3 linked regions of the Caenorhabditis elegans genome follow. The protein of the gene in region 1 purifies or fractionates together with the protein of each later gene. This does not show direct contact. Each region holds a gene or a part of one and is shown in the gene's direction. Other genes may lie near its edges. The genes, in order: K05F6.8, ule-2 and F36D3.5.

The links.
Region 2: the proteins of K05F6.8 (region 1) and ule-2 fractionate together in Caenorhabditis elegans (co-fractionation; one large-scale study listed by BioGRID). This does not show direct contact.
Region 3: the proteins of K05F6.8 (region 1) and F36D3.5 fractionate together in Caenorhabditis elegans (co-fractionation; one large-scale study listed by BioGRID). This does not show direct contact.

The regions. Positions count from the first base shown.
Region 1 is NC_003280.10:1,566,770-1,569,851, reverse strand, and holds K05F6.8 (F-box domain-containing protein), read left to right. Parts: upstream 1-2,105; coding exon 2,106-2,317; intron 2,318-2,365; coding exon 2,366-2,528; downstream 2,529-3,082. Other genes in the region: fbxb-49 (F-box domain-containing protein), read right to left, coding at 289-1,198, 1,250-1,332.
Region 2 is NC_003282.8:14,633,040-14,636,578, forward strand, and holds ule-2 (Uterine Lumin Expressed/locailized), read left to right. Parts: upstream 1-2,086; 5' UTR 2,087-2,091; coding exon 2,092-2,211; intron 2,212-2,330; coding exon 2,331-2,795; 3' UTR 2,796-2,985; downstream 2,986-3,539. Other genes in the region: irld-4 (Receptor L-domain domain-containing protein), read left to right, coding at 86-88, 138-207, 264-412, 592-907, 1,215-1,330.
Region 3 is NC_003283.11:16,513,421-16,517,179, reverse strand, and holds the start of F36D3.5 (BRCT domain-containing protein), read left to right. Parts: upstream 1-1,939; 5' UTR 1,940-2,045; intron 2,046-2,090; 5' UTR 2,091-2,119; coding exon 2,120-2,186; intron 2,187-2,696; coding exon 2,697-3,759. Other genes in the region: F36D3.4 (Major sperm protein), read left to right, coding at 26-283, 363-587.

The DNA.
Region 1 (3,082 bases):
TAACTGAGCTATCATTTTAGTTTGATCTACAAGAATTACGGGAATTTAGGGGCTAAACTGATTTCGCATGGTTAAAAACGTGCTGACGTCACACAAAAAAATTCACGCATTTTTTTTTGTAGATTAAACCGTAATGGGACAGCCTGACACCACTTAAACTTGTCGGCTCCCCCTTTTCGTTGCTTTGGTTTTTAGGGTCCTCTACGATGTAGTATACGATAAAATAAAACCATATTCAACTTGGACTTGTAGATCATTAAAACATTTATTTATTGAAAGCAAGTACAGTTATTCAAATAAAATATACTCAGAATCATGAACAGCTACAAAAAGCTCTGCATAGTCGAAACGATGTTCTAAAATTATAGTTGCTTTGATGCCTTGGCCCAGGTGTATATCGATTCCTCCGACTTTAGGAGTCATCCCCGAATCTACTTCGAACAATTTGAATTTCCTGTTACTTGGTGCAATCTCATGAGGAATTCCTTTTAGAATAGTGTCTTGGTTGAGTGCAGGGCCACGCTTTACACTGCGAAAATATTCAAGCCCAGACTTCAATCCGGCAATCCAATGTTTCAAGAACACATTGATCTCTTGTTCTGTTAACTCTGGATAGAATGTATCAATGAAAGAGCAGGTAACGAAAAGTAGCTCGTTTAACGGTAGGTAGATTGATGAGTTAAGCTTCTGAAGCTTATTGGGCAAAACTTGGCGTAGTTCCAATTGTTGAGAGGAGTCTAATGGTTGGGGATTGGTTGCATGTAAACCTAGCTCAATGTTTGGTGGGAATGCGGAGAGAAGTTTGATCATCAGCGGGAATTGGGTGGCGAAACCAATGGAAAGCTTTGAGATCTTGACATCTTTCAAACATTCCGTAATCATTGGTAATTGCGACTCATTCAATCCTCCATCCGAGAGAGTTAAATGTAGAGTAGCGATTCTTGATATGCGGAAGATATACAGAAAGTGTTTCAACCAACTTTTCGCATCAAATTGTGGCGCAGAAAAACGAAATTTCGATTCTGCCCATATATCGATGTTCCCATTTTGAAATTGGTAAAATACATTGCCTGGCCTACTCAGGCCTTCTATATAGCCAATCGAACCAGTAAGTTCCAGATATGGTCGATGGTTTTTGAAGATGTGAAACTCTCTGACAAGTTCTTTGGTTTTCTTAGACACCATTGAGATGCACACTCTGAAAAAGGCATCAATTATTAATGGGTGTTAAAAAGAAGAAAAAACTCACTGCTCGCTTTCAACCATGTTGCAAAAAACCTTTTTTAGGTTTTTCTGGGGGAGATTGAGAAGAGGAAAAGAAGATGCGACCATTTTGAGAGAAGGTATGAGAGCAGAATGAGCTGGGGGTAATAGTAACAGGTCTTCGTACAAGACGCTAAGATGTAATAAATTTATTGATTGAATATGTCAACTATCCCATCTAGAAGTTGATAATGTTTCCCATACAGTGAGCTCTGGAATGTACCAATAATATTGATTTGCCAGGATCACATTGTGCTCAATTATCCTAATCATCTTTCAACAGTGCCGCAGCCATTGTGTGAGAATGTATTATTAATATTGATTCACAGGATCACCTTTTAATAATATCCTTTACTGGTGAGCACCTGCCGCTCACCCTGCCCATTCCATTGTGTTCTGGTCCGTAAGAGATCCAGGCTCGCATTTCTGGGGAGTGTTGCGAACGTAGGCTGCCAAGTTTGGCTGGCCTTTTTGAGCTTCAAGGCCTGAAATTTGTTATGGCAAGTGGTGTGGTATATTCAAGACTTCTTTGAAATTAAAAAAAAATGTATTGGTTAAAAAATTCAAATGAGATATACATATTTCGAATTACGAATAGGTGCGATGCAAAGGTGTGCGGCAAATTTGCCGAATTTGCAGAGCTCGGCAAATTTTGAGATTTGCCGCACACCACTGGTGCGATGCCTAACAGGTTTAAAGGATTAAATGACGATCCGTTCTCCAAGTGTTTCCACTACGGATCTGGGAGTCAGGTACACTGCCTGGTGGTGCTCCCACTGGGTTATAATTTAAGCCACGTCCTGGCCGGGGACTGCTGTTAGTTTGTGTTCGCAATCCTCATAATGATCGCCAGCAAGATGCCCAGAGAAGTACGATTACCATCCTTTCAGATAGAAATCATCGGTGCTATGAGCACATACAAGATCTACTGCCAGTCACTACTGCCCCTATCTCATTCTGCTCTCCTAATAATGGTTGCACCGTCTTTTCCTCTTCTCAATCTCCCTGAGAAAAGCCTAAAGGAGGTTTTTTGCAATATGTCAGTAGTGCAACAGTGAGTTTTTATTTCTTTAAATAATATTTATTCTTAATAATTTTTCAGAACATGCATCTCAATGATTTCCGAGAAAACCAAAAATTTGGTCAGAAAGTTTCACATCTTCAAACAAGTTCAAATATGGTTGGATTTTTCTGATTCGCTGAGATGTTATATGAGCCTAAAAGGAATTTCTCTCTCTATTTGGCATACTCCAATGTGGCATTAAAAGAACCGCGACTGAAACTGATTGAAGAGTGTTTGAAAAACCTCAAAGTGTTAAACCTTTCCATCGATTTCTTCAAACAAGTCCCGCTTGTCGTCGAGCTCTACTCCAAATTTTCACCGACCAATTAGCTCAGCTTACGCCAGCCTGTAGATCAACAATTGAACTCTACTCAATTTTTGGAACTACGCCAAGTTTTGCCCAAAACACATCAACAACTTTCATTAGATATGTACATTCCGTTAAATGAGCTACTTCTCACTAGTTGCTCATCTATCGACATATCTCATACAAAGTTAACAGAAAAGGATATCAATGTGTTCTTGAAACATTGGATTGCCGGAATGAAACCAGAACTTGAGCATTTCCGACTTCAAAAAAATGGTCTGCCTCCTTCCTAAAGCCCCCATCTTGCCACACACACGCGTTTTCGGTGTTCAAAAAATGTTCAAAAAATGTCCGAAAAAATGTAATACAACTTTGAACGTTTATATCTCGGCTCTCACGGAACCGATTTTTGAAATTCTTTTTTCTCTACATTCACAAAATATAGCGAC
Region 2 (3,539 bases), on another chromosome or scaffold:
TCGAACGTTTTTTGGCACATTTTCCACGACGTTTCAAATTCATACGCAATATATAATTTATTTCCTGGACAAATCAACAATCAGAATGGTGAGTACTTTTTTTTCTAGAAAATCGAACAATTGAAGGTATGTTTCAGTTTTGCATTCTAAATTTTCTACTGCTCCCTCTGGTTGTCTTGGCTCAAGTTGGAAGCTCTTGTGATACAGGTAACGCTTATTTAAAAAAAAATTTCCAATTAGATATTTAGATAACTGTATTTCAGATGGAATCCCGAACCAATTCCACTGCAACATTAAAAATTTGAAACGTGACGCTCAGAACTACCTCGAGTGGCCTAACTGGTGTCAAGTGTTTCATGGAAATTTGCATTTGAGAGTGATTAATTTGAAAGCTGCAAATTTTGAGAAATTGGTAAGGTGACATGTATGTTGGTTTCTGAAAATGCAGCGTCCGACATCTTCCGGGCGCAGGCACTCTGTACTTTTTATCAAATGATGAAATTTCTCGAATTCTGTTCTAAGTGTTATCTATCTGAGTAATGTTGAATTTCTAAAATAAAGAATCTGAAACCGCATTTTTATTTTTTGCAGCGTGAAATCCGTGGAACCCTTTCACTAATCAATTCTCCATTCAATCGAATGCCTCAAATGCCAAATCTTGTCAGTATTAAAACTCATAATTCATTCCCTGGACTCGTTATTCTCAACAATACAAGACTCCGTGATATGCGTGGATTTGTGGATTGGAATAAGGATGTCAAGATTACGGGAAATGAATTTCCAGTTTTTATTTCTGGAAATCTGGAATTGGATACTGTTAACCTGCCAGAAATGTTCCACAAACCATATTCTCCACTTTCGTGTGAAAAGAGATTGATGCCAAATTATAATATTCAATTTGCAGAAGGTGAGAATTGAGAAAAATATATAACAAGAAAAAATATTATGCGGTTTCACATAGTTTTCATAAGGACTCAGTATTTAGTTTACTATTAGTTGAGTAGTTAAAATGAGCATAAGTGTACGTTTGTTTTCATAATAATCCAAACTATGACTTATGATAATTATGAACATTTTCATATTTACTATTTTTTTTTACTGTTTCAAATACACTACTCGCATCTGCCGTTCTTCGTTTTAGTTGATTTCGAAGCACGACAACCCATCAATTTCATTTTGAGAGTCACATTTACCATATCTAAATCAATTTTCAGGAATGTCGCTTGCTGCCGTCCTATTCACATTGATCATCTGTGCTACAATGTTCCTTCATCCATTGAGTATGGGAAGTACTAACGTCTATTTTGTGCCTGGATATCATAAATATTGAAATTTGCAATTATTTGGATAAATTATTGATTGTGTGTGTAATTTTTTATATTTATGATGTAGTAGAAAGTGATTATGCTTTAAAAAAAGTTGACAACCGTTTCAAGTTGTATATAAGTTTTCATGTACAAAAATTAAACTCAATATTTTGATACGAGATGGAAACTAATTCAGTGCATTTAAAACCCTGATATCTGAGCGTTTGGCTTAAAAATTATCTAAACTTACAAAACAGTGATAGTACAATAAAAATAGATACAACACTAAAATATTTCAAATTGAGCATTTATCGAAATTTCTTGCCACGTAATACTCCGCGTTTTGGAGATTTCAGCTAAAGCTGAGAAGTTTTACAGGGGTTATCACAAAATTAGTTTATTTGGGCACATTTCTAATAGTAAGTCACAGTACTTTAGTGGGTAACGTAGTAATAAAATATGAATTTGCCTAGTACTACATTGTAAGAACGTTTAAATAATATTTAACTTAAGGCGATATTTTTCCAGAAACGTTAACTATATTTTTGGATGGAACAAGGAAAGAAACTGTAACTGGAAAAATTTTCCGGTGTTTTTTTAATTTAACACCGAAACAGTGAAAAAATTGTTCTGAATTAATACGTTTTCAATTGAAAAAAACTTTTCTTCGGGAAAATGAGTCAGATGTTATATTAAACTTTAAAATTGATACAAACAAAGAAGTACCGATTCAATTGTTTTTCAAAAATATATAAGACCGTTCTGAAACAGAAAAAAATAAATCATGATTTTCTACATTCTTTTCCTGTTACCTCTGGTCTCCGGGCAATGGGGTACCCCTCCACCAATTGTCACTAATGAGCAATGTCAAGTGGAATACAAATCGATAATGAATTGTGTTAGGGTAAGTCATTGATTCAGGAGCGCCCCACATTTAGCAGGCTCTGGCTAAGACTAGTCGCATAGCCAACCCGCATGATGTAGGGTGCTGCTAATTTATTTTCAATCGTATGCCCTTTTCAGAATCCACGTCTTTTCACAAGAATTGATGAAATTCCCCGTCCTGAGAAATCAGAAAATCTTGCACTAATCGAAGAAGTCACTCACGTCCTAGATTGTTCTGGATTCTTAAATTGCAATAGTTCAAGAATTTTGCAGTCATATTTGTTCAATCAACGTTGGATTCTAGACGTACTTCATGGAAAACTGGAGCCATGTCTTGGGAATGGAGTTTTACGCAAGATTTTTGATTCTTGTGATCCTGCTCCAAGTTACAAGAATTTCAAGAAATTCGATGATGATGATTGCAATAGGATTACTGTGTACCTACCTTGCTTTGTGAACGAACTGAAAAACCAGCCAACTTGCAAAATCAGTGATGTAAATCTATTCAAACGAATGATTTTTGCAATGAGATCCGGTTGTGTGATGGGCCATCAAATGAAAATTGAGTTCGACAACTATGGAATTATTGAAAATTCATTTTAACTTAAATCTTGTTACAATAAATGTGTGCTCAATGCCATGCAATATATTTGAATTATTTAAACCGAAATACTAATGTTTACAATTAACTTGTTCATATTTTCAATAAGTTCAGTTTCTAACTTTTGTAATGATGAAAATTATCATGAGATTAATAAAAGGCGGTTTCAAATTACATTCATTTGGAAACTATACATGGATTTTTAATAAATCATTGTCAAATAATTTACTGTTTCATGATGTTAAAAAGTAAACGCCAAATGTTTATTATTTGAATTGCTTTATTTTTTAACCTTTTAAACTTTTTAAAACTTTATTTAACTTTATTTATTTATTTATTTGTTTAAACTTTATTTTTTAATTTTTAAACGCACATATTTAGGAGGCGCATTGTTCATTTGCTGACGTTGAAAATTACAAAGAATAGTGAATTCAGCATTCTAATGAAAAATTCCAGTTTGTCGATATTAACAGAGTTAATGAAACATGATGGGAAAATTTAATATTTTTAAATTGTTTCAGCACTATACAAAATGTGTCCAGCTTAAAACCAGCAGTACAAATGGTTATAGGTATTCATTAAATATTCAAGCATAATATAAAACGTTCTATAGAAAATTTCGGCTTGCCGTCGACGCTGTATATTTATTTTGGCTGAATATTTAAATTTCGTAAAACAAATTCCTCTTAAAAACCAGTAACAGGTAAGATTTAGATTTATTGAATAAACATTTTCAATTCAATATT
Region 3 (3,759 bases), on another chromosome or scaffold:
AAAAAAAACCTTTTATTAATTCTAGAACCTCTGCCCACCGATCAACTCGACAGATGTTTCCGACGTGTCCATCAAATCGAATTCCGGTGAGAAATCCGAGAAGTCGAAAGCTCTGAAGTTGGTTCCCAATCAGCCAAAGTACACATTCCCGGAAGGACAGGGTGCTGCTTCAGTGAAGTCGTCGACTCTTCGAGCTTCGCCCAACAAGCTTCCATTCGCAGCGACGGGAGGTGTTCAGACAGTCAGCATTGCCAACAACACCAAGTCGAGAAAGGCATTCAAGGTAAGCAGAGGGAATTTGGTTTAGACTTAGGCTTAGAGTTAGGCTTTGGCTCAGGCTCATTAAAAATATAACTTTCCAGGTCAAAACTTCCGACAACCTTCTCTACCGCGTCAACCCAGTGTTCGGATTCGTTGAGCCCGGTGACAAGCTTTCGATCGATGTGCTCCGTCATAATGGAGTCGAGAAGACTGATCACTTGATTGTCCTCACATCCAATGCTTCTACTGAGCAGAATTGTGCCAAGGGAGTCTTTGAGAGTGATCCACCACGCGAGCTCACCGTCATTCCATTGGTTGCCAACTAGACTATGCCCAGCCCTCCATCATCAGCCTGTCTAAAGAAAAAGTGTCTCGAAAATGAATTTTTTTTTGATTGTGTGTGAAAATATGATGAATTTTGATTTGAATAAAGATTTTGATGGAGGTGATCTGTGTTTTTATATCTTGTTTGTTTAATGAAAAAAATCTTCAAAGATACTATAGTGTTCTGGTCATCGAACATCAAAAATTGTAAACAATTCCAGAGATCAACAACTTGCTACTTTTTGAAAGTCCCTCTATGACAGATTTTCTTACTGAAAAATTTATTAGATGTGAACACGGGGGAGCCAAGACGGGTTAAATGGGCTCTTTTTTTTATTTTTGGCAAAATGCCATTTTTTGGACTTTTGTTTTATCACAACTTTTTTCCTTTTGCACTTATAAACTCAAACTTTTTTCAAAAAATCCGTCTCTCTGAGTAGTATCTTGCACATAAGTTTCAAATAAAACAGAGCAAAACCCGAATTTTAATTCAATTAAAACATGGTTTTTTGGGGGTAAAAAGAGCAAAAAATTTTTTTTCAAACTGGGGAAAGCCGCCCTGGGCTCAATTTTGCTCCAAAATTAGTGCCGTTTTCTGCTCCACAAAAGGGCAAAATATTTCTAGTAGGATTTCAAATATTAGAGCATGAAGTCACACGGCTCTGTAGTTATTAATGAAAACAAAAGGGGACATTTTTTCGCGAGCCAAAAAAGTGTCAAAAAACGCGAAAAAGGGGCGGAGTCTGCACACTCGGCATTTATTAGAGGCGGCTTGGCAGAATCCAAATCTATGAAAACTTTTCCAAAATTCTAAAATTTTTATTTTTGTTTTTTTGTGGGGCCTGTATGAATTGTTGAAATTGGAATTCGACACAAAAACCCCTCTAGCGCGTCTGAAAATTGATATCTAGGTAAAAAAAAACGTACCGATAATATTTTTAAACAACCAAGAATCCAAATCCGGGAAACTTTTTATAAAACTCTTTGATTAAAAAAAAATCGATTTCCAAGTTGCTAAGCAATTTCGAAGTTGATAGTAATTTTTTCGATATGTCATCTTTTCGGTTGGTCATCTTAATTTTTTAAAGAGATGCAAATTTTGTAGTTTGAGATATTACAGTTTTCTCTGCAAAATGCTTGAAATAAATGGAATTTCGCTCCAATTTTATTTGAAAGGTGTTCCACTTGAATTGCTTGCCCAAGTATTTTTTTTCTGAAAACTTGAGTTTGATTCTCGCGTTCAAACTTTTCAAAAAGATTTGCCAAATTTATAAAAATATCCAAACGTGTTTTCTTCTGAAAAACTTTTACAAAAAATAAAATAAATTTGCACGTTTTCCTTATTTCCGTGACTTTTCATTTGATCGTCTTATCTCGTCATTGAAATCTTCCATCCCTGTCATTGCCGATGTGGACAACTTCCCAATCTACTGCTTTTCAAAAAAAGTGATAATCTTTCGGTGAGTTTACATTTCAGATGTTCAGTTTTAAACGAAACATTTCAGAGAAAAGTTCAAAATTGGTGTTAACAACAATGCAAATAACTAATTTTTATTTCATTATCGTTATTCAACTAGGATGTATGAAAATCGGTCAATCAGGTGAGTCAATGGAGTGATGGTATTCAATTTAACAAATTCCGCGACCGACGTTTCACAGGCCTACACGCTGGCGCATTGTGACAGGGGTGTGCAGCTGGCTGATGATCCTTTTGCTAATGAGATTTTCAAGCGTTGCCAGCGTGGTTAAAGACTTCCGGCGTGATTTTTGAAGGATGCCTGCAGGAAGGCCATGCCGGCAGCTTTAAAACACACAGGCAGCGATTGAAAATCACGCAAGCGTCGTCAGCAAACCACCCAGCAACGCGCCATCACCAAACAGATGCTCATGCGTGTTTTGTAGGCGTTTCGTGCTTGGTTCAATTATCTGAGGCGCCGTCGGTTGTGAGTACAGTTAAAAGGTTTACCAGAAAAGATGCGCCGGTGACGTTGCTGAAATCTGAAATGTTCTTTCTGCGAGGCCTGGGAAAGCTACTCGCATATCCAAAAACATTTGAAAAATGAAACTAATAAGCTTGACCAAACTATTCTTGTTACCTTCAACATTTCCAGCTTCATCCGATCTCCAAGCAATCAGTGAACAGTTTCGGATTCTATCGCGTGTCACCAATGCAATTTCCCTTCAAGCTGGAGCAATTAGGAAGGAAATCAAAGCTCGTGATCTTCTATCAGAACTTCTTCATATGCCCAGCGATCAGTTGAACACGGTTATGAACGTAAATGTGGAGGCGGCAAGTTTGGAGTTAAAAAGGATGCACCAAGAATACACGAAGTTGATTCAATTATCTAAAAATGATACACAAGCCTTGTCGGATGATGATGTTAAGGCTATGATGGCCACTTTGAGCTTCATATTGTTTTTCTCACAGCAATCGTCTAGCTTGTCAGCATTATCCAGTATCTCAACAAAAAAGTTGTTGAGTGAAGCCGGAACTCTTAGTAGTTACAAAATGTTTGCCACTAAATGCGCAAAGTTATCCTTGTTGGAAGATTTCATTGCTCTTTTTGACGACGACACAGGAGTGACCCCGGATTCTGCAACGGTTGCTGAAATTATCAATAATTTTTATATGGAGGAACAGTTGATGAACACATGCATTGATAGCTTGAGAAGTTTGGGTTCCAAAATAGAAAAATTGTCCAATTGGAAGGATTTAGCAGTCTACCGACAATTGCTAAATGGGAAGAACAATATAATTTGGTTTGAAACACACCGAGAATCCCTGTCATCGATGAATAGTACACTTTTGCAAGTTCTATCTACTTTTCAAACAGCAAAACCGCTTTGGAATAGCCCAAGCTCTCTCGGTCAGAAAATGGTTTTTGAAGCAATGGCTCAACTCAATAAATCAATCGTGGAAGCAAAATCTCATAATATTTCGCCAGTCAAGCAAAATTTGTTGTTCACTGCTGGCTTCAAAAACTCTGGAGATTTTTCGAAGATTGCTGGTGATTTGAATAGTAATTGGTTCAAGAAGCATGTTGCGAAGGGTTCAAGTACAAATTCACTGAGTAATGCTCTTGAAATATTTCAAACAATTTCGGGAAAAATGGTTGCTTTGGATTCGTCGTGGAAAGAATTAATGCATGTAACCAAAGGATTTCAAAACTTACC